4 linked regions of the Oryzias latipes genome follow. The protein of the gene in region 4 purifies or fractionates together with the protein of the main gene of each other region. This does not show direct contact. Links are inferred from orthologs where the notes say so. Each region holds a gene or a part of one and is shown on either strand. Other genes may lie near its edges. The genes, in order: microtubule-associated protein 1B-like, map1b, ras association domain-containing protein 6 and serine/threonine-protein kinase 3.

What was found.
Region 1: the proteins of serine/threonine-protein kinase 3 (region 4) and microtubule-associated protein 1B-like purify together in Homo sapiens (affinity purification with mass spectrometry; 3 studies listed by BioGRID and IntAct, with this or other methods). This does not show direct contact. The link is inferred for Oryzias latipes from reciprocal best matches to the Homo sapiens genes STK3 and MAP1S.
Region 2: the proteins of serine/threonine-protein kinase 3 (region 4) and map1b purify together in Homo sapiens (affinity purification with mass spectrometry; 4 studies listed by BioGRID and IntAct, with this or other methods). This does not show direct contact. The link is inferred for Oryzias latipes from reciprocal best matches to the Homo sapiens genes STK3 and MAP1B.
Region 3: the proteins of serine/threonine-protein kinase 3 (region 4) and ras association domain-containing protein 6 purify together in Homo sapiens (affinity purification with mass spectrometry; 4 studies listed by BioGRID and IntAct, counting the BioPlex papers as one, with this or other methods). This does not show direct contact. The link is inferred for Oryzias latipes from reciprocal best matches to the Homo sapiens genes STK3 and RASSF6.

Annotation. Positions count from the first base shown.
Region 1 is NC_019862.2:5,879,570-5,885,569, reverse strand, and holds the start of microtubule-associated protein 1B-like, read left to right. Parts: upstream 1-2,082; 5' UTR 2,083-2,140; coding exon 2,141-2,264; intron 2,265-5,445; coding exon 5,446-5,547; intron 5,548-6,000. Other genes in the region: trmt13 (tRNA:m(4)X modification enzyme TRM13 homolog), read right to left, coding at 1,564-1,715, 1,875-1,914. UniProt on the Homo sapiens protein: Microtubule-associated protein that mediates aggregation of mitochondria resulting in cell death and genomic destruction (MAGD). Plays a role in anchoring the microtubule organizing center to the centrosomes. Binds to DNA. Plays a role in apoptosis.
Region 2 is NC_019870.2:7,505,863-7,511,579, forward strand, and holds the start of map1b (microtubule-associated protein 1B), read left to right. Parts: upstream 1-1,803; 5' UTR 1,804-2,064; coding exon 2,065-2,236; intron 2,237-3,177; exon of another isoform or gene 3,178-3,277; intron 3,278-3,474; exon of another isoform or gene 3,475-3,537; coding exon 3,538-3,639; intron 3,640-3,726; exon of another isoform or gene 3,727-4,135; intron 4,136-4,675; exon of another isoform or gene 4,676-5,647; intron 5,648-5,717. UniProt on the Homo sapiens protein: Facilitates tyrosination of alpha-tubulin in neuronal microtubules. Phosphorylated MAP1B is required for proper microtubule dynamics and plays a role in the cytoskeletal changes that accompany neuronal differentiation and neurite extension.
Region 3 is NC_019870.2:20,592,645-20,597,884, reverse strand, and holds part of ras association domain-containing protein 6, read left to right. Parts: intron 1-561; coding exon 562-761; intron 762-845; coding exon 846-947; intron 948-1,470; coding exon 1,471-1,522; intron 1,523-1,595; coding exon 1,596-1,714; intron 1,715-2,170; coding exon 2,171-2,268; intron 2,269-5,240.
Region 4 is NC_019869.2:24,048,821-24,054,726, forward strand, and holds the start of serine/threonine-protein kinase 3, read right to left. Parts: upstream 3,880-5,906; 5' UTR 3,720-3,879; coding exon 3,694-3,719; intron 2,472-3,693; coding exon 2,391-2,471; intron 2,267-2,390; coding exon 2,138-2,266; intron 1,963-2,137; coding exon 1,848-1,962; intron 1,611-1,847; coding exon 1,446-1,610; intron 924-1,445; coding exon 756-923; intron 671-755; coding exon 533-670; intron 435-532; coding exon 309-434; intron 212-308; coding exon 13-211; intron 1-12. UniProt on the Homo sapiens protein: Stress-activated, pro-apoptotic kinase which, following caspase-cleavage, enters the nucleus and induces chromatin condensation followed by internucleosomal DNA fragmentation.

The sequences.
Region 1 (6,000 bases), on a different chromosome or scaffold from region 4:
ATCTTTTACCCCTTGGCAATATTTTCTGTAAATTTAATATAAATGTTTATTTTTTCTGGATGACACCCTGCTCTATGTATCAAGCAAAGCTGAGTCCTCTCTTCCACCCTCCTCCCTCCCCTCCTGTCTGTCTGAAATCAGAAACTGGTTCACCTTAAACTCTCTCAAACTCAATAGTGATAAAACCGAGCTACTTCTCGTCGGTTCCAAGTCCACCCTTTCCAAAGCCACAAGTTTTACTCTTTCACTGATCTTCCTCCTCCCTGCAGGTGAAGAGTCTGGGTGTCACCCAGGATAGTTCTTTATCTTTTCAGTTCCATTTTAATAACATTGCTCGGTCTGCCCATTTCCATTTACGTAACATTAATTGCCTACACTCCTCCCTCACCATCCGCTCTAATTCTATTTTGGTCCACAGTCAGTAATTCCCTCCTCTTTGGTCTCCCTAAAACAAACCTCAATAAGCTTCAACTTAGACTTAGGCAGCAAAACTGGTCCAGAACTCAGCAGCCTGCATCACCTCCAGAACCTCCTCCTTCAGTCATATCACCCAGATTCTCCACCAGCTGCACTGGCTTCCCATAACCTCCAGAATCAAACTCCTGCTGTTTACCTTTAAGGCCCTCCATAACCTGACTCCTTATCTTACCAACCTACCGTACTCCATTAAAAAACAAAACCTCTGTTCTCTTCTGTCCTCCTCCGTTCAGCTCTCTGTTCCTCCGGCCCGACTCGTTACCATGGGAAGCTGAGCACCTTCAGCTGCTCGGCTCCCAAACTCTGGAATTCCCTCCCTCCGGATCTCCTTAACATTGACCCTTTACGTTCAAAACAAAAAAAGAAAAAAACTCAAAAATCATCTGTTTACTTCTGCCATCTCATCTAGATTCACTTTTGATTTTCTGTCAATTTCTATTTCTTGCACATTTAATGTTTATTTTTGACAGATCAGGGAGCTTGTTCATGCAGATGCACTCGTGGGCATTTGTGATCATTTCATTGACAGCGATTTAAAAAGGAGAAATACTCACAAATGCAATAATGAAGTGATTTCTTACTACATTTCTTTCATAAGAAAAACGTCACACATTTTGAAAACTCTAAAAACACGATTTGGGGGGCAGTTTGACACACATAAGGACTCATTCACGGCATGCTGGTGTTTTTTGTTCCATTTTGATGCAATTTTGTAGTCTGGCCAATAGATGTGACTAGTTTCAGTGTGTCAAATGCTTCACAACCCTGAACCACTTCAATACAATTAGATTCATTTGGGTTCAGAAAGCTTTGGTGTCTCCATCACTAGTAACGTGTGCCAAGAGTGGCTGTGGGCTGCGTGCAGACCCTGAACGCACCCTAAAGCCTTTCTTACAGTTTTACCGTAAAAGTTAAAATATTAATGCAAAAACTTTTGCAGTTCAGCTGCTGTACTAGCGTGGCAGCGATAAGCTGCAGGTACTGTCCTCTGGTGAGAGTGAAAACTGAATTAAAGCCACGTGATTGTCCGCTTGCCTTCTCCCACCACGCGCCTCGCCAAATCCTAGCGTCAGCACGTGAACTCACCGCGTTCGCATGTTCCCCGCAGAAGCGCTGTCCCTTCCCCACCATCATCTTACAGAAACGTTTCTTCCTCTCCAGGAAGAAGTTACATCTGTTGGGAAGCGGGGACGCCATGACGGACATGATGAGCGCGCCGCCGACGCCGCGTTCACGTGCTTAAATGCAGGAAGACCGGGCAAAAAAGCAAAAGTTTACTGTAAACTAGCAGTTTCACCCATTTTAAAAAACACGAAACTGACGCCACATCCGTTTGTGACGTTATTTATGTAGTTAATGTAATTTAGACATTGAATTTTAGATTTAGCAGCAAATACCCCAGTTTTTAGCTCCATAGCAATATTTGAACCGGTTCATTCTTTTCTTAATAATTGGTATCCAAAGTGTTTTCTGTTCAGAAGTCCAACAGCTTTGAAGTTTGGTCTCTTATCTTGGTTAGTTTTAAGTTGTGCTAAATGCTCAACCTGTGATTGGTCAGCTTGACTCATATCTCATCCCTGATTGGTTGTTTCATGGGTCTCGCATCGCCGCAGTCCCGCCTCCGGTCCCAGCGCAGCCGGATGACGTCAGGAGTGGACAGTCCATGATGGCGGCGGAGCGGGGTGGCGGTCCCGGTTCTTCTGGGCCTGATTACTCGGTTCTGGTGGTGGTGGGAGCGCTGCAGACCGCCGACCTACTGGAGCGGCTGTTGAGGCAAGTGGAGGCAGGTGAGTGAATGCTAGACCACAGCAGAACCGAGCCACTGCCGAACTACACGGAGGAAGTCCGCAGGCCCTTCACAATAAAAGCCGACCCAACTAACTAAGTCCTCTGTTTAGTCCTACGCGAGAAACCACCCGAATGAGTACGTTTGAAAATACAGACACATACTTTATGAAAAAAAAAATCTAGTTATTCGTTATTGTTAACACGTCTGTTTTCTTTTTCTGAAGTGATTGCTTTGTTTCCTGTTCAGTTTAGACATGTCTTGTCAAGATGAAAGTCTTCTCACTGGTCTACTGCATAGATCTGGTATCTGATTCAACCCTGATAACATGCAAAACGCTGTGGTCAAAAAAACTTTATGGGCTGAATTATTTGGTTTACTCCACTTAATCCTTATTTTGAAATTCTGTTCCGCCGGATGTTGTTTTGGAAATGTTACGTTTTGCAAGAGGAAAGTTCCAATAATCCGGACACTTTAGTGAAAAAAGAATCACTTTTAATCAGACATCAAAACGTTCAAAATTTGCCTCTTAGTTTTGGGCGGGACTATTGACGTGGAGTAAGCCTGCCACCACTTCCCATCATCCATCTGTTTACACTCCCCTGTGTAGGTGACCCTCACACCCCTAACTTAATATTACCAGTGCAACAATAACAGTATTGGAGCTATCCAGTTGTACAGTTGTGATCCAGATTCCAGCTCAGACAGAGGAAAACAAAGACGGACATGGATCCATTTGTCTGACAGTGGATGCATCAGAATAGAACAGAGCAGTAGCTTTTTCAAACTTCTCATATGTGTTCTCCATCATGAGAAAATGTTGCAAGGACATGTTAAAAACACAAAAAAATACCATTTCATTGTACCAGATTGGCACAAGTCCAGTTTGTGTCAGGCAGACGTGGAACCGGACCGTTTCTACCAACACGGACACAAACTTCAGATGAGAAGGTTGTTGAGGCTCCATCACACAGAGGAAGTTGAACTGCGACACATCAGCAACTTCCTGTTTGCTGAGGAAGTGGCTCATCTGCTATAGATAGGAAAAACTAAGCTGGTGTCCGTCTGACTGAAACGGATTGATCGGAACAGCGTGAGCAGTTTATTTTCAACTTTCTTAACTGCTTTGTTGCTTTGAGACTCAGCAGCATCATCATCATCATCATCATCATCATCATCATCATCGACTTCATGGTCTGCATTTAGAAACTTCTCTCTTTTGTGATAGAGGTACGACTCTCACTGACCGTTGCATCGCTCCGACTGTGCATCAGCGTACGACCCCTGATCTGCCAGGAAGTGAGGACATCTCAGAGCCTCTGCAGTGGTTTTGGACAAAAAGCTGGCTTCTGTGTTTAATCTGAAAAGTTTGACCCGTGGGTTGTGTGTGTTTGTGTGTGGGGTTGGATCTTCTCATTGTGGTTCTTGAATTGTATCAAGCATTTTGGGTCATCCAATCACGGCTTACTGGCAGAGGGGAGACGGGTATTGGAGACGGAGGCTGATGGTAGATCAGGCAGATCTGTGCCGTGGTGTTAGCCATCAATCCTGAATTTGTCTGCAGTGAATTCAGAGGAAGACCTCTGCCTGAAAGAGACTCCTTCCTTATTTCGTTTTCACGTTGCAGACTTCACATTTTAGTTTTCAACCACATTGCTGAGCTCATACATTTCTCAAAATCTCCCTGATGACTTCTGGTTCTCAAGAAAAACTTATCAAAGCTCTAAAAGTGACTTAAACCAGAACCTCTTAGAAACACTTTTGAAATTTGGCTGAATAAAAATAGATTTGTGGGTCATGTGATCACATCAGAGCTGCTCAGCTCTACCTTCTGCTTCTGAATGTCAGTAGACCTCCGTAAAAATGGCAGATTTGACCCTGAAGCGTTTTTTGACCTTTGTTCAAATCCCAACAAGCTGTAGTGTTTTCCTGCGAAAACACTACAGCTTCAGCTTCAGCTTCCTGTCTGCAACAAAGTTGCAGTCAGAGTGTAGAAATGTGGATGTTTTGTTCAAGTTTGACATTAGATTGTTGTGTTGTTGGGGGTCATAGATTGCAAGTAAAAAATACTGTCAACAGACCAGAAACACATGCGTGTGTGCTTAAGCGTCATCTTCCTGTCTGCGCACAGAAATGAACACATCAAAAGCTAAAGCATGGTTGTAAAATGTGTTTTTATGATGCTTACGTCAACATTGGGAGTTGGGTCATCTAGACCCACTAGACAGTGCTCTGAACCTTTTTTCTTCAATGATTTGTGATCTTCACTGGTGTCCATGGATTACATGAAATCTTTCCACCTTTATCCACCTTTGTCATGGTAGGGAGAACACGTCAATGTAAGGGTGGGGTCATCTAAGATAGCACAAGGGTTAACGTTTCTCTAATACTCATAGCTGCAAACCATTGCGAGGCCTCTTTCTGTCCAGCCTCCTTTCATCTGGTCTGGTTTGATTTCACACGGCGCTTTAATCACACATTTCCCCCGACTGAAGCAAACAAAGCGTCAATTCTCCACCAAAGCGCTGAACAAAAGGAGTGAAAGGTCAAATCACATGATTGTTTTAATTGATTCAGTCTTGATCATTCTATGAAGGCCAGATGAGCTCAACTTTATTTTGAGGAAACAAAGAGCGTCAGTGGAGAGGAAAAATGGAAGATGTGGAAGCAGCAGAAGAACCAAACTCAGCGAGGCTTCCTGTTTGCTAAGAGGGCAGCAAGAGACTGACAAAAAGGAACAAAGTCAGATATATTAAGTTATAGCAGTAACACAGACCTATAGAGCTCTGGTCTTCTTAACAACGGCATCTGTGTGTATTTGTCTCTGCTGCGGTTCACTTCACTGTGAATCCAGAGGGACTTTCAGTCAACCAGAGAAACCAAACCAGGACTTTTCAATTCAAGAACTGCCCACCTCTGTCCAATCACAGGCCAGATGTGTACTTTTCCAGTGCTGGACTGGAAGCAGCTGTAGAGGCTCATGGCCTTCCATCCATTTTCCAAACCCACTTAATCCCTTTCAGGGCTGCTGGAGCCTATCCCCACCACTTTCAGGCGAGGGCTGGACAGACCCCTGGTTGGTCGGTCCATTCCAGGGCGTCTGTGTCTTCAATCCAAAACAATTCAGGGGTCTGAACAGTAACTTGTGTTGTTGTGTTGATCAGGCTGTGTTTGTGTTGCAGGTGTGCGTTGTTGGCCCGTTGATCTGAATGTTTCTGTTCTGGATCAGCAGCTGAAGCTCTTCGTGTCCAGACATTCGGCGCTCCTGTCAGCAGATGTTACAGGTGAGAACTGAAGTTCTTCACATCTGCAGGGTTTCGGTTCGGCACATAAGAGACCTGGACTGAGTTTGAAATTATCCATAGAAAAGGGTTCCGGCTCCGACCAAACAAAGTCAATTCAGTCGCCATTTTTTTTTGCCAAACAGACTTCGCCATGTCTGGACAAGATGACTTCAGTCTGAGTCACGGTTTCTATGACAACCACTCTCGTCAATCAGGAGTGAACGTGTCGTAAAGCCACACCCCTACCATTGAAAGTGGGGTCGATGAAATCTGTCAAATGTTTTTAGCTTTCAACGAGAGACCACCTACTTTTCTTGAGGCATCTGATTGGTCAGTTTATAACTGGCACTACGGCAAAAATGCCATGATCATGAAATATGATTAACAAGAACACGTTAAAAATGGTTATAGCTGAATAACAGCTGTTTATTTCTCTGTAGAAGTTTGTGGCAT
Region 2 (5,717 bases), on a different chromosome or scaffold from region 4:
GGCTGACTGTCTTTAACCCCGGCGGTTCTGATCACACGATTCTGCAGAACAAGCACTTGTTTCTGTTCCATTTTTTCAGAATAAAAGGTAATTCTTTCACATTTCCATCAGAGCAAATATCAACATGAAATGAGCTTTTGGCACATGTCTGCATCTTGCACACATGATTTGGTCCTGTCTCAACCTTCATAATTACTGGAGAAATATCTTTCAGGTCCTATCCCACATCTATGGAAAAGATTTCACACCTAATTTCCGGGGTTGGTATTTTTGGAATCATGACACCTCAACATAAAACAAATCAATCCCAGGGAAGTGCCATTGCATTCGCCACTCTTCTCGCACATAGACGGATTTTATTCCATTGGAAATCTGACGAAGCTCGTTCGGTCTCCCAATGGTTAAAATAGTTACCGTAATTTCCTTCCTGCCTTTGAAAAAGCTCACATACAAGGTAAAATCAACACAACAAAAATTTTCAGTGACATGGATCCCTCTTATCGAATATGTGATAATATGTACCTTTGATGTTTGATGACTTGGATGTGAGGAATAGAGACTGTTATCAATCATGCTTTCTTTTTAGTGTTCCTTCATCTGTTTAAGAGCCTCGTGGGTTAGGAGGGAGGGTACTTTCTTCTCTTTTCTGTTTCACTTTTTAGTTTTATCTTACCTTTTATTTATTTATTTATGTATAATTGCATATTTTTGGTCTATAAATATCAATTCAACGATACTGTAATTGAATACTGTGGATGAAAAAGCTGACAATAATAGGAATGAGCTTTTGCCAACGAACCAATGCAATTTCTGACTAATTCACAACAAACCCACAAAAATCTAGGAATTAGGTTTCTGCACAACTGCTTTGAAATCTGTCAACATTATCAGTTCAGTACAAAGGGAATTATCTTTTTTTGCTGTAAAGGGCAGCAAAAGGGCATCTTCATGAGAACACTTGGCATTATATATTTTAATTAAACACTTTATAATTTTTCAAAATAGATATTAGAGGAACAATATATTCCACATTCCACAGCCCACAAAACTTTGGAAACATCCCACAATGCAGCTCATCAGCAGAATTGACTGAAAAAGGGGCTTTTGTTTTCCTAATGAGCCTAGCTTTACCAGTAAAATGACGATGACATTTTAAGATTAATTTATGTTTATTCAGGGACTTCAGCATTTAAAGCCTTTATTTTAGCATTTTTCAACTTTGTTGAGACAATTTCAATGCTGAAAGAGTCAACTGAGCATTTACAAATAAACGTATTTTTTTTAGCTACTTAATGATTTTTCTCTACATTGTTCTACAATTTTATTTAGGATTTTATTAGCAATGTTTACAGTTATTTGGTTCAATTGTAGCAGGGTTTTTATTTACTGTTGTAGTAAAGATTTGTTTTTTGTTTTTTGCTGTTTAGCACTAATAATGTGTGGCTCAATTACCCCTTTGCACCTACTTCTCAGTTATTTGAATATTTTTAGCAAAAGAAGAACAATAATCAGCTCCAAAGCTCTTTTCCTTTTTTTTTTGCAGGAAATGTCATTAATTGAATTAAAAAAGACAAATTTTAGTCATTTCAAATTAATCTTTTGGGAAAATCCTTGTGGTTTCTTTTTGTCCAGAAAGTCAAAAGTGCATGAAAACATGCATAAGAAACAACGATTTCTGAAAAGGAGCAGTTAGCAAATATTCTGCTTTATTTGACTTTAAATTAATGAGTGAAATAAAGTGATGGATGTGCAGAGATTACAGTCCAAAGCGGCACATATCTGACTTCCGGATGCACCCTCTCTATTGCGGATGACATCAGCTGAGGAGTGAGTGTGCGAAATCGCTCCCGGCGCGCGTTCCTGTGCCCGGCCACGGACGGAGCGTGACACAATGTCTGCCGGTATAAAACAGCCAGGGCCACTCCTTTAAGGGCTCCACTCGAGTGTCTGGGGACCACTCCAGCAGTCTGTGGCGAATAAGATCAGAGGGAAGAGGACGAGGAGGAGGAGGCAGACTGCTGCTTGGATAAACCGCACAGACAGACAGGAGAAGCAGCGCAGAGGATGGCTACACTTGTAGAATCCGCAGAAATGGAGGTTCTGGGCAGCAGCATCGGAGCAGCATCCTCCAGTCCGTCCCATCACTTCAACGACGGCAAATTCTACCTGCTGGTGGTGATCGGGGAGATCACCAGCGACGATCAGCTCAAGTGTGCCATTGCAGACATTGAAAAAGGTAAGATGGAGATGTGCGAGACTGTGGGTGTGGGCCACTGACACCTCAAGTCCCCAAGAACTCTTTCAGGAGAGATATAGTGCCTGAAAGTTTGAATTTGTTTTGTCATTAAGAGGAATGTTACGGTGGAAATGATGCCAGGCCAATTACGCATGCGTTTTAGAGCTTCAAAATCACACTAAACCTTTTTTTATTTGACAGATTAAAAAAATATTATTTATTTTATTTATTGATGCAGCTCAGACTGCGGGGGTAGATCCTAACCGTTTCCCAGAAGGCATCCTTGCTGTAAACGCGTCTTCTGCAGCATCACCTCCAAAAATGCATTTCTAGAAGTCGGTCTAAGCAGCACTTTTTCCATCTTGGAGCTTCTACTGAGGCCTTTTGTTCGTCAGGAGGCGGACACATCGAGATGGGGGGGGGCTGTCTGCTCTCTTCTGTGTTTTTTTCCCCCCAAAAAACGCGATTTTAGGCTCAAATTGTCACTTTTTTGTGATTAATAAAACAAAAGCAGGCGGGATTTTCCTGCTGCTGTGACAAGAAACCATCACGATCCTAATCCTGCATCCAGCTCTCTCATCCCACACCGGCTTGTGGGCGTGGCCCTGTCCGCACTGCGGTCCCTACGGAAAGCCACAAGGGTCCAGATTCAGTTGGAGGAGGGCGTTTCAGAGACTCTCCAGCTGCGGCTGATGCCAAAGAGCTCTGTTTGTTTGAGGGAGCCGTAAGAAGAGGAGAATGTGGCGCAGTAAACGAGGACGCTTTATCTGTAAATAAGAGCATGGTTAAAGAATAAACGAATTTTCTTTATATTTATGTTTTTGTCTACATGCATTATTTATTATTTCAGATTTTACACAATTATTTAAAAAAAATATCAAATGTTCTTGAAACTTTACTTTACAGATGCCCTTCTGTGTTTTTCTTATTCCAAATTACCTATTTTATGGATGAGATGTCATTTTTGTTTGTTTTGATCGATTCTTTTTTAGTTTGATGACTTGGCAAAGTTTATTTGGAGGTCATCATTAGGCCTTGACACTGAAAAAAATGGAGGATATGACACCATGACTCAGTACAGCAGAGACCCCGGGTTCATGTGGCCCACGGCAAAACATAAACAGCACTATGGATGTTTCCTAATATAGATTTCATGGCTTCTGCCAAATCAGTAACCAATCTAAACGTTTTCCAGTGAACAGGAAGTGGGGCAGATGTCTAGACGACTTTTTACACACTTTGGTGTCTTTTTTTTCCCCTTTCTTTTCCTGAAATGTCTTAAAATAGTTTGTGTTGTGCAGGAATCCGTTCCTGGGACACAAATCTGATCGACTGCAACCTGGACCAGGAGCTGAAGCTGTTTGTTTCCAGACACTCTGCTCGCTTTTCTGCAGATGTCAAAGGTAAACAAGAAGAAAAACATATTTGAGACAATTTTTTTCTGTGATGCACAGATGGTAAACAGATTGAAGAGGAAAAAAATCAGAAACCTTGACTCCCTGCTGTTTGAGGATCTGGCCGCTCAGCTGTGATCTGAAAAGCATTTTGCTGCCACGGTTTGATTCTGTTTGTCCCTTCAAATTGAATCGTTAGTCTCTAATCAATACCAAGCTGTTCTGCTTTCATGAAAGGGACTTTCTCCACTTCAATTCCCAGGGAACCTCAATGATCTTATTGATGTAAAAAAAATTAAAAATAAAACACCCTTTATCACCTAAACGGCAACAAATTAAATAGTCACTTTAATTAATTGTCACTTTAAATTGTCACAAAAAATATCCCCTTTTGACTTCAAATCTGTTTGAGGGTTTTAAAAAGTATATGGGCTTCTTAATTTTTATCATTATAAATTGTGCTACGGCTAAGAATCATCCATACACGCTTTTTCTGCAAAATACTTACCGGTATATAAAAATATCCCAGCTTTATTTGTTAAAATGTTCTTCATTGTTTACCAAATAAAGACTTTACTGTTTTCCTTCTTTGTTTTTTTTAAGACGTTCATAGAAAAACCTCATGGCAAAATATGGTTTTGCAAAAATGCTGATTGCTGGGTGTAAAATTGAAAACTTTAATGGTGTTTCTGAACTTCATCTGTTGAAATGTCCAATCTTTGCTTAGTTTACTCACCAAAAAGTTCTAATTTTTTTAGTCTTTGTGTATTGAAAAGTGCATTTACCTCCTCACAGTAAATTTTTTCTATAGATTTGCACAGAACTTTTGTTTCTTCTTTTGCCCCACAACAAAAGGAAACAAAAGAAATGCTGCTTTCAAACTGGGAAACATTTGTTCCTTTGGGTAGTTCACTGTATTTGGCAAATGCGAACACCTGCAACATTGATTTAAAAAAATGCAGAATCATTTTGATTTAAAATCATTTGGAAATATGTCATTGAGAAAGACACGTTTTCTTTCATTGTGTTGTTTTTTTTTTCTTAATCAGTGCACATGAACAGTTGTTAGTGTGTAATTTTTCCAGGGACAGTGGACAGAGACAGTTTTATCCTATCTCAACAGTGAAGTGTGAAGCCAAACCAGATGAAGGTGTAAATCATTTGAGTTTTTTAGCTCTATTTGTCCATTCAAATTGGGTTACTATCGGCAAACCAGAACAAGCTTTTCTGTTTTGGAGAAAATGGCTTCTTGTTATCAAATCTATTCTTCTATTTAAATCACAAAATCTATGCGAGTCTGTCAGCATAACATTGGATCACCAATATTAATACTTTCTATGATATTTAAGGATCTGGCAACATAGCTCTTGAAGTATTTTCAACTGAAACAGTGAAATGACATTTGCTAGGAAACCGTGGTGGTGTGTAGTTTAAAATCATTAAAAGAAAAACCTTCAAATGAGTTTGAATGCACACTGCTTCTCAGTGATGTACCCTGCCACATGGCAGTGAACCTAAATCTCTTCTTATTGCTGTCAGAATTCAGGCTTTATCCCCCTCTCCGTATTTGTAGCATGGCATTTTTAAAGCTGAATCCTTTACGAGGTGAAGGAGCAGTTCTTTTAAGAGGGAGCAGGTTCAGCAGACGGCACGGCCTTGAAGGTCAGAAGAGCTCCATCTCGGCTCCACGTCACATATGAACCTGTTATATCTGCCTGGCTGTTTGATAAATTGATCCTGTCAACAGAAGCTGCTCTAGACCAGATGACTACATTTATTTACAGCTTGACATGCATCAAGTAGCAGAAATTGCTGCACAAAACTGCATTACAACAAACACAATGATTTATTCAAAGCAACTGTCAATGAAGCTCCGGTCTCCCGTTGCCTTTTATCCCACTTTTGTTTTCACCTCTTTCCCATCCTCCATTTCTCGCTCTCCATCCTCCTCCAGTGAGCTGCTGCCTGGATGCACAGTTGTTCTGGGAGTAATAAGCAGTTTGGATCCTCGGGGGACCTGAAGATGAAGAGGGGTGGGGAAAAAGGGGGTTTGATTGTTAAGAAAAAAAGCGAAGAGAAGATGGATA
Region 3 (5,240 bases), on a different chromosome or scaffold from region 4:
CCACTTGAGACCAATTTCCAATCTTTAATTAATTTCCATTTGATCAGTCAGTATCATTGAGTTTGTTTCGGATGTTGCACATATACTGCATTCTGTCTACCTCAAATGTGGTAGTACAAAACTGTATGCAAAGATGTCACAAAGAAAGAAAAAAGTCATTCCACCTTTAAAGGCAGCTGCTATGAAGAAAGACCTTAACAGCAGAAGAGACAGGTAATAATCAATTTTTAATTATGATTATTAACTGGTTAGACCAGTTAATAATCAGGTCTAACCTGGTTGTTACTTTGTTAAAAATAGTGTTTCTGCCCCCCTGTTGTAGTTACTAAAGTATATTAAAACTAAATCATATCTTTCATGCTACGTTCACATGCACCTACAGTTGGGAGAGGCTTGGTGCGAGGATGGTGGAAAAGCAAATTTAGTCAAACTCTATGCCTCTTTCAATAACTTTGTGTTGTTTTATGTTGAGCTTATCCTGCTCCTGCTGAAAATATTATTATTGCTAACACTGAATTTTAAACATGTTTTTAATGCTTAATTTAATGTATGCAACCAAAGGCTCTGTTCCTTATGAGAGTGCTACCCTGCGTCCTACAAGACGCAAGAATCAAGAACTGGAGTTGGAGTCTAACCTATTTCGCTGTATGAGCGATGCGTCATTAGTGAAGAGGAGGAGGCGAAAGGGAAAGTCAGCAGCACAAAGAGAGACTGAAAGACAGCACCGCTTCTCCATAAACGGACACTTCTATAACTATAAAGTGAGTTCCTGTTACCATAGATATTGGTTTGTATTTTTAGTCATAAACCTCTCTGATTCCATGTGCTCATTGTTGTTTCTGCAGACCTCCATCTTCACACCATCTTTTGGTACTTCAACTAAAGTGCGAATCTCCAGCAGGATGACCACTAACCAAGTCATTGAGCAGCTTTTAAATAAGTTCAAGGTGATTTTATTTCTCAGTTTGGAAACTTTAATGACTACAGATGACCAATAATACATATTGTTTTTTTATGTCCCACATCAGTCCTGCACTACAAGATCGACACTGTTTTCGCAATACTTCTTCTTTTCTGTACCTTTGAGTGAACATTTCAGCCCATAAACTGAAAAACTCACCAAAATTACAAAAAGGAAAAGGTGACATCATAGCAGGTGCAATTGTGAAAAAAACTAAAATGGTCAAAACCTCAAAAAACCTTTTAAACAACCAAAAAACAATAAGGTTGCTATGAAGATAAAATTAACAGAAAAGACGCCATTTTTTTAATTAATTTGTCTTGTGCAGCTCTGATCAGGGTGGCAGGGGAAGAAGGGGAGAGAATGATATGGGCATGTGGATGCCACTCAGCTAGTAAGGGTTGCCAGGAGGGCCCCGCAATGCTGCTGCCCCCGCAATGCTGCTTGCAAATTATTTTTTTTAATTAATGTAAAGACGCTGAATATGTGTTTTATTGTTTGCATTATAGATAGAGAATGATCCAGAGGAGTTTGCTCTGTATTGCATTCATCAGAGTGGAGGTAAGAAAAAAAGGAAAAAGTAAGGTGTCAAATTAAAAAAAGTTGGTTATGCATGTTGCTTTCTTTTGATCAGAGAAGAGGAAGCTGAGCAACAAAGATCTACCACTGTGGGAGCGGGTTCTGTATGGGCCCTCTGATGACATCATGAAGATCTTTCTGATGGACATGCATGAAGAGGAAGTCAGCAATGATGTAAACATAAATACTTAAGGGGTGACATTCACTTTAGAATTTTTAATGATTTTCTATTAAAGTAACCAACTAATTGAACAGAAACCATTTTTTTCAGACCAAAATCTTCGATCTTAAACAGTCCAAGGGAGTTTTATTGCTCACTGAGGTCATTTTTAAGGACTTGATTGATAAATAGACAATAAAATCCTAAAATAATATATTATTAGTTTTAAATAAAGGTTATGTCAATTTTTATTGTCCCTTATTTTATGTTACATCATTACAGCAAACTTTAGTTTAGCAAATAAACTACTTTGTTTGCTAAATATTTGTTTTAGAGCAACTTAATAGTTTTAAGAAATACATTCTTTAAATTTTAATTTAATTTTAATTTGTTTTTGTTTTTTTCCAGAAAACATATTTTTCATTTAGGTTTGAATTTTTTGTTATAGTTGCACTGTTTTGTTTTATCAGGTTGCTCAGTATCTGAACTTGGAGCACTCAATTCTGGAGCAGGTTCTTCTGCACCTCAAAGAGGAAGAGAACAGAGAAATACAGAGTGTAATCATTAAGTGAGTATATGATCCAACACATAGGCTTACACAAATGGACAACATTCTTGGTACTCTTCTATTATTTTCTTTTTTTTTAAAAAAGCCCAATGGTCACTTAAAAGATTAAGACTATTAACAGTAATTCCATGTATCTTTGAAGTTGTTCCTCAAAATCATTTTAGAGATTATGATATTTACCTCCAGGAAACTTTGAAATCAATTTGACAGTGGAGACATGTTCAACTGTGTGTCCTATGTATTCTTTTATTGAAGATCACAGGTTTATTTACAATTAGTCTGTTTATTTTGAGAGGGAGAAGCATATGGAGTCCTATACTGTTCATAATTAGATAAATAAATATTTAATTAAATAAATAAATATGAACTCATGCAAATACACAATAAACCAATAAATCTCTTATAAATATATAAAAAGATCATGAAATTGTGAAAAACCTGCATACTAATTTTAAATTAGCCATTATATTATTCAATATATTTCATTTTGCTTTGTTCATTATTTTAAAACAGCATTTTCAAATATTCATTTTTAATCATGTGGAATATTATTATAATTCTGTCTTCTTTCAGAAGCTCGTATTTCAAAATCAATATTTTCCAAAGTAGCTTTGTTTTTTCATTTCATGTTGGTGTTTTTCACAATGGCGTATTTATTTCATGAAGAGCTTTTTCAGGAGAATGAGTCCATCTGTCAATCAGTGAAAGTAGGCGGGATCTAAACGCCCATTGGCTCATCCATGGAAATCGACTCATATTCCTCGATACCCGCACAGCTGTGTGCCGGTCGGAGAGGTGACATATTTCAGCAATATCTGCACGGCTTTGCTGACATTAGAGATCAAATAGAGACAAACAATCTGTCTGCTGCAGAAGATGCAAACATGAATGACTCTGTTTTTGTAGTTTGAGGGTTTGTGTGGACCAAACCACAGAAGAGCTCCGGTCGTCCACGTCTATAAGTCCCCTGTTGAAACATTCCTCATTCTAACGCCATTCACTCAGAGCTCACATCGTGCCTTATGTCGGCTCGCAGGAGGTGAGCTGGCGGACCAACAGTCAGTCCAGGCAGCTGTGCAAAGCAGAACAAGCCTGCTGAGGCCTCCTGAACCTTATGATATTTTTCTATTTTCAATGAGACAATGATTATAATCAGGTCCTCTGATTTTATTTTTCCCTCCCGGGAAAATGTTGAACCTTTCCTGCGATGACGTTTCTGACCGTGGTCGGAAAACGCAGTGGAGATTCGGGATTGATTGAGCAATTCTGCAGCCAGGGCTTACTCCAAGAATCAGGCTCTGTACTTGGAGGAAACATTTTTTATTATTACTTTTCCGGGGGACTGGGCAACAGACGCTTAACTTGCGCTCACACACACACTCTCGCGCTGCCTGGGCGCTCTGATTTACACGTAATTTAAGACGTAGTTTGACTGCAGGACCTGAAGCAGAGGCTCTCTCTGGGATGATCTCATGAACTCAAACATGGAAACATTGTTATCATGTAGAACTATTCAAAATAAATAAACCTGATCTTTTAACACTCCATGTACATTGTGCATCCATGCATTGGTACTGAGATAAGCACAGGCAACCGTTCCATGTGGCTATCAGGCTAAAGTCATTAGCTGGTAGCCCATCCCACACGCTGCATGTTGCGTTCATGGAACTCCAGTTCATAGAAGTTTTGTGGAACTCCAACAACCACCCAGCCTAACTTAGGCCACTACTAGATGTTAATGAGAAGATGAAAACCGCTGAGCCGACCACAAAATCACCTGAATTATACACACTCGCCCAAAGCCACTTTTATCCGCAAATTTAGAACAAAAACTGCCCAATTTCTAGTAACACTGTGGATGTGTTGAGGTGCATCCTCCCCCTAGTGTTGAGGAGAGTGCATTGCGCCGTCACGTTTGGTGAAGCATCTTCGATTGATGTAGTCAAGGTGCTGCTGCTCATGTCTGAGTAAAGGAATAGCCAATCACAAAAGTCTCTCCGCCTTGTCTAGTTTGATTGACAGACAGAGACATTCTCCTGAAAAAGCTATTCATGAAATAAATAAGCCATTGTGAAAAACTGCAACATGAAATAAAAACAAAGCTACTTTGGAAAATATTGATTTTGAAATCCAAGGTTCTGAAAAAAGACGTAGAATTATTATAATATTCCACATGAATAAAATGAATATTTTAAAATGCTGTTTTAAAATAATGAACAGGTTTTTAAAGCAAAATGAAATATATTGAATAATATAATGGCTTATGTAAAATCGGTGTGCAGGTTTTTCACAGTTTCATGATCTTTTTATATATTTATAAGAGATTTATTGGTTTATTGTGTATTTGCATGAGTTCATATTTATTTATTTAATTAAATATGTATTTATTTAATTATGAACAGTATAGGACTCCATAGAAGCAGTCTTTGGTTTGTATCGCAGTAAACACGGACCACAGAAAGTAAATGAGAGATTTCTCAAGGTATTAAAAAAAAAACCTTTTGATTTGAGACAGTTGGAGCAGTTTGCCAAAGAATGGATCAAAAATGTTTTTGATAGATGTAGAGAAGCTGTTTGATTGCAGTGACTGCAATTGTATTTATAAAAAAAATATTTTTGCTCGTTTAGGTTCAGGTTTTTAGTTACCAGTTTTTAATAAAACTAAATGGTCCTCCAAAACTGCATTATATCTGACCTAAACAATTTTAACCCTTGTGCTATCCTAGGTATTTTAACATTGGGAGTTGGGTCATCTAGACCCACTAGACAGTGCGCTAAACCTTTTTTCTTCAATGATTTGTGATCTTCACTGGTGTCCATGGATTGGTAAATCTTTCCACCTTTATCCACTTTTGTCATGGTAGGGAGAACACGTCAAAGTTAGGGTGGGCTCATCTAAGATAGCACAAGGGTTAATCATCAGCTTTAAACTAACTTAAACACTGTATCTTCTGTTTTCCACGTGTGCAGTT
Region 4 (5,906 bases):
CTGTTTTCTTACTTCTCATGGATCCGTGGTCCTCGTGCTCCTCTTTATCATCCGTGTTGATGACCATGGTGCCCAGGTCGTCCAGGATGGTGGTGCCATGCTCGATCATGGTCTGAGCACCATCACTCATCGTGCCAGTGGCTCGCATGGTCCCTGCACCCTCTGAGCCCGATTTAACCATAGTGTGCGAGTCCACCTCTGTCTCTTCTTCCTAGATGGAAAGAAAAAAAAAAAAAGACCATCCATATAAGGTTCTCTATGGGAAAGTTTAACTACATCACTACTGTTTGGTTTTTTTGGTAACGTACAGAGTTGTCCTCTTCCTCCTCCAGCTCTCTCTGCTGCTCTTGCTGTCTTTTAGCTTTCATCTCCATAGCTTCTGTAATGAGATCTCTCAGGATTGTGACAGGCTTGGCTTGGCTGATAAATGGATGCTGGAGAACGAAACAAAAAAACATATTATTGCTTAAAGCAAATTGTTCTGCATAATTTAATCAAAGTTACACGTGGGCTTTATCTTCCTTCTTCTGACCTGAAGCAGCTGAGTGGCTGTGGCTCTCTGCTCAGGATTCTTCACCAAACACTTCTTGACAAAGTCTGTGAAGTCATCCGACCAAAGCTCCGGCTTCCTGAACGTAGGAGGAGGGTTGGTGGGGATCATGAAAATGGCCTGCAGGGGAACGTTTTTTACAGGAAATGATGAGAAACAAAAACAAAGGAAAAGGAAGATTACGAACAAACATTTTAGCACTCACTCTCATAGGATGGATGTCGGCATATGGAGGTTTGCCTTCTGCCATCTCGATGGATGTGATGCCCAGAGACCAGATGTCTGCAACACAGTTGTAGCCGATCTCTTGGATCACCTCTGGTGCCATCCAAAACGGGGTACCAATCACTGTGTTTCTCTTTGCCATGGTATCCTTCAGTAGTAAGTAAACAAGAACATCATTTGGCTTTAAAGTCATGCTCTGATGAAAAGGGTGGGTTTTTCTTTTAGCTTTTTTCCTGCTCTGCTTAATTCTGATGCATCCACTTGTAGACGACTACATCCACGAACGTCTTCGTATTCCTCGTCTGAGCTGGCATCTAGATCAAAACTGGTCCGGTTGGATTGTTCCAATATTGCTCGCTATTTTTGTTGCAGCGATAATGTTAGGTTAGGGGTGTGAGGAGGTGTAAGCAAAAGGGAGAGTACAAACAGCTCTCAGATATGGGTGATGGGGAATGGGGGCGTTGCTCCACGCTGCAACTCAGAGGTGAATTTCCTGTGTCCTAGGAAATGACACAGGTTTTTGGATTTTGGCTGGCTGAAAACAGTTTTATCGTTATTGGGAGCATGTTTAAAATAGATCTAAGTATGATTTGTGTGGATCAAAAAAAAAAATTCCAGACCAAGTTACACAAATCAAATAAACATAAGTGGATCATTTCTTCTTGTTTACCGTCAACTGTCCTGCTACTCCAAAATCTGCCAGTTTCGCGTGACCCTCAGTGTTGAGAAGGATGTTTCCAGCCTTGATGTCACGATGAATCTTCCTCATGAAGTGAAGGTATTCAAGACCCTTCAGGGTTGATTTAAGGATGGTGGCAATCTCATCTTCTGTCAGCTGGACCATGAAAGCAAAGCAAAAACAAAACAAAAAAGGGCAGGGCGAGATAAACCTTGGTGTTAATAAAAGATCAGGGTAGTCATAAATAAATACATTATTTCTTCAGCCCAAATAGACTAACTGTAGTCAAAATTGGATTATTTCTGCTTCTTTTAAGTGTTTCTTTTCAAGTAGGGAAGAAATCTAACAGATCAATCTTACAACACATTCTAACCATAAACTTAAAAGGCTCACCGTCTTGTTGCGGAGTCTGATTATGTCAGAAACGGATCCAGCTCCGCAGTACTCCATGACAATCCAAAGGTCTGTGTTTTTGAAGTAGCTGCCATAGTATTTCACTACATAAGGGCTGGAAAGAGGTTCAGAGCAAAGTTTGTATTTAAACCTCAAAAAAAGGGAAGTATTCCTGCAAACATCAGAGTGCAGAGGAGCTTGAGTTTGACTAATTCTTTGGATAGTTTTGATCATCTAATGTACTCCACATGACACGGATAAGCATTTGCAGAGACATCTGGAATTCTCACCTGTCACACTGCTGCATGATGGAGATCTCTTTGATGATTTCCTGTAGATCTGACTCCACTGGAACCTGCTTGATGGCCACAACCTGTCCTGACTCTTTATGAATGGCTTTAAAGACACTGCCATAGGAACTAAGCACACACCAAAGCTAGTCACACACCACACCAGGGTGCGCAAAACCAATGTATAACACAACAATCAACTGTAAAAAAGGAAAGTACAGGATGAAAAGAAAAAAGGAATCAAAGTTCTTACCCTTCACCAAGTTTTTCTAATACATCAAACACTTCCTCTGGCTGTTTTGTCAAGCTGTCCTCGCTCAGCTTTTTCAGCTTGCTGCAGTTTAAAGAAAGTCATCTTATTATTGACATCAATAGACAATATAAATAATAAATAGCCCAGATAGTTTTAGGTAATGCAGAGGGAACAATATGAGATTTATTTACTCAATTAATATAAATACGTTTTAATTAATTTTGCTTTGATTACCATATTTAACAGAGAGCAAGAAACAAATAAAATGTCTACCAAAAAAGACAGATTTGTTAATTGTTTATTGCTATCAGTATGGATTTCAACACAATAGTTAAGACTTGAAGTGTTTTCTTAGTTTTTCAATAACAGGCTTAAAAACAGCACAACTAGAAATCCTCCAATGAAACGGCTTTCAAAAATGACCAGGAAGTGACTTCATGTTACTTGATTAAGGCCCTGTGGGTTTTTGCTCGTCATGTGAAAAGGTTTTAAGAAGATGTAGTTTCACTCACTCAGGATTACTGTCAACCATAAAAAGTATTAAAACCTAACTTATTTTGTCAACACAATGATACTGTATTAGTAAAATTCACATTTAATTTCAAATATAAAATTCAATAAAATGAGGAAAACCAACAAAGCAACCAAATAAAAAAGCCAATTGTGTGTGCAAAGTCTGATTTATGTATTGTACTGTATATGATACAACAAAATACAACTGAATTAAACTTTATTGATACAAAAATTGGAAATTACCTTGTTACTATAGCTCTAATAAAAACAGCAGATAGAAAATATTTCTATAAATATTAGGTTATGAACATGTTAAAGTTTCAAATGTATTTAAAATTAAAATATAATGCCAAACAGAAAAGTACATTATATGCTTATGATGTAATTGCATAACAAAATAATACTTAACTGGTTTTGAAGAACGCAATAAATTAAATTACATTTTGTAAATAAAATTTGCTACTGTTTTCGTTATTTTAATTGCTGTACGCGCACGTTTTAAATACATTAAATTTGCCTGTAGGGACAAAAGGCAAGACGTTTTATAAAATGTACACTTTTTTGTTGTTCCTTAAAATTGTGATTAAAAATGTGTCACCGTTTCGAAATTTCAACGTCAATTTTGAAGTGAGGAAGTACAGAATAGTAGGGCCTATATCCATGTAAATAGAAAGTTTCAAACAAAACCACTGGAGTTTAACGACTAAATGAGTTAGCTTAGCATTAGCTAGTAGGGGCTCAGCTAGCATCCGATTATGCTAAAGTTTGAACAATTGGAATCTTTACAAACCTTTTAGGCGCGGTTGGCTCCATCATGAATCAACTCGAAAACGTAAATTTAAGGAGCGCTTTTAAAAAAGATTGCCGTTTTGTCACTATGGAACGAACGTGTGAACATTGTCGGCAGACAAGACGCGTTGTTGTCAGAAACTAGCAGAGGGCCAGCTGAGATGGGCGCTTCATCTTCTTCGTGGAATCTAGTGAGGGCAATGCACAAAAGATCTAACGCATTACCGCCACCTCGCGGCTTCAAGGGTTACCTACAAAGTCGGGAAAACGTGGCCTGTGTTTTTTATGAAAGAAATGACAGCAAAAAAACAACAACTTCAACAACAAACTCAAATTGCACTGTAATTTTTTGTTTAATTTTTAAAGATGTAATTTTAAAGTTATATAAATGTTTTCACGTTACACTGGCATTATTTTGGAAACAAAGAATTGATTTATGTCCGAGGAATAGTATGTACTAATTTTAGATTTTATTGGGATTCATTTAAAGGGTATGGGGCGCCGAATGTAAAAATTAACCTCAGGAAAATTATGTCTCAGTTTCACCACATTTAGACATTTCTTTCCCATAAAAGGGCCTATATTATATCAATTTATTCCGATACAGTGGGGCAAAAAAGTCAGCCACCACTTGTGCAAGTTTTCCCACTTAAAAAGATTAGAAAGACCTGTAACTTTCATCACAGGGATACCTCAACTATGAGAGACTAAATGAGAAAAAACAATTAAGGAAAGTTCAACTCAATGCTTTGTTACATACCCTCTTTTGGTAATGACAGCAGTCAAACGTTTTCTGTAAGTCTTCACAAGGGTTTCACAAACTGTTGTTGGTATTTTAGCCCATTCCCCTTTAAAGATTTTCTATGGGGGTTGCGATCTGACAGGCTAGGCCAAACCAGGACCTTGAACTGCTGTTAAGAAGCTACTCCTTTTTTATCCGGGCAGTGTGTTTGGGATCGTTGTCATGCTAAAAGACCCAGCCCCCTTTCATCTTTAGTGCTCTTGCTGATGGAAGAAGGATTCACTAACTAACTCACTGTGAGTCGTTCCTGGCTTGAAGCAATGAGAGGGAGCAATTTCTATCACCTCCACCTATGCCCGTTCTTCCATTGCCTTTCTGACTGCTCACGGTTTATGGCTACAACACGAGGGTCTGTTTAGGATGGCGACTGTGCTTATGAGGCCGTGTCAATTCACCAAGATTCCTCCCCCCAGCTGATCTATGTGGACCGCGACTGCTGCACCAGAGATGCCGTGTCCAGGGCAGCTGACGTATTTTTGGTTCAAACTCATCATGTTTTCATTACATGTTCCAAATGTTCCAACTTCTCAACCAATCAAATGGCCTGATTCGTTCCAATTTCAACTCTGAAACTTTGGGGGTCCAATCAGAGAGCTGGATTTGTTCCAATTTCTCGCCCCCGCCCCCCTTCTTTTACTGTCATGACTGCCGTCTTCCTGGTTGGACGTAAGTGCTGTTTTTCCTTTGATTTAACGAGAAATCGATGGTTTTAAGTGCTGAAACGATGTTGAATGTTTGTGTTTTTATTAAAAGATGCGCTTTTAAATTTTGAAACTTTCACTTTCTGCTCACAGTTGTGAGAGCCTTTAACTTCTTCGGTCTGATGTTGTATCTTTTCCTAAATCCCAGCATCCTGGGACCAGCATACTCTGTGTCTTCAAGTTCTCCAGCCGGCAGAAAAAGTGGGAAAGGGCTGTGATTGAGCAGGAAGCTGGACTCCTTCCTGCTGCTCCAGCTGTTTCCTTGCAGCCTATACCTGCAGCTGAAGGGCTGTCCTTGGTTCAGGCGGGACAGCCCTTCGACGACAAGATGCCAGAGGAGAAGACGCCTCTGCAGCAACACGTTCCAATGATGAATCCTAGCCGCCCCTGAGGCTCCACCACCATCACCTCCTCCTCCTCCTGAGCGTGTGCCCAGGACCACCGCCTTCAGGAGGAGGAAAGTGTTGGAGGCAGCAGCTGCAGCACCAGAGCAAGACCTTCCAGCAGGGACAGAAGTCCGCCGACAGGTTGTGCAGACCACCTGCAGAAACGGATTTCTGGGACGCCTAACTGCGCAGCTGCAGACGGGAAGAGTGTGGAGGAATGGAGGGAAGAAATGAAAAGATCCAAGGACCATTAAAGACTATTAAAAAATATATTTTAAATATTTAAATGTATTATATATTTTAGTTTTTTGAAAACGTTTTTTTG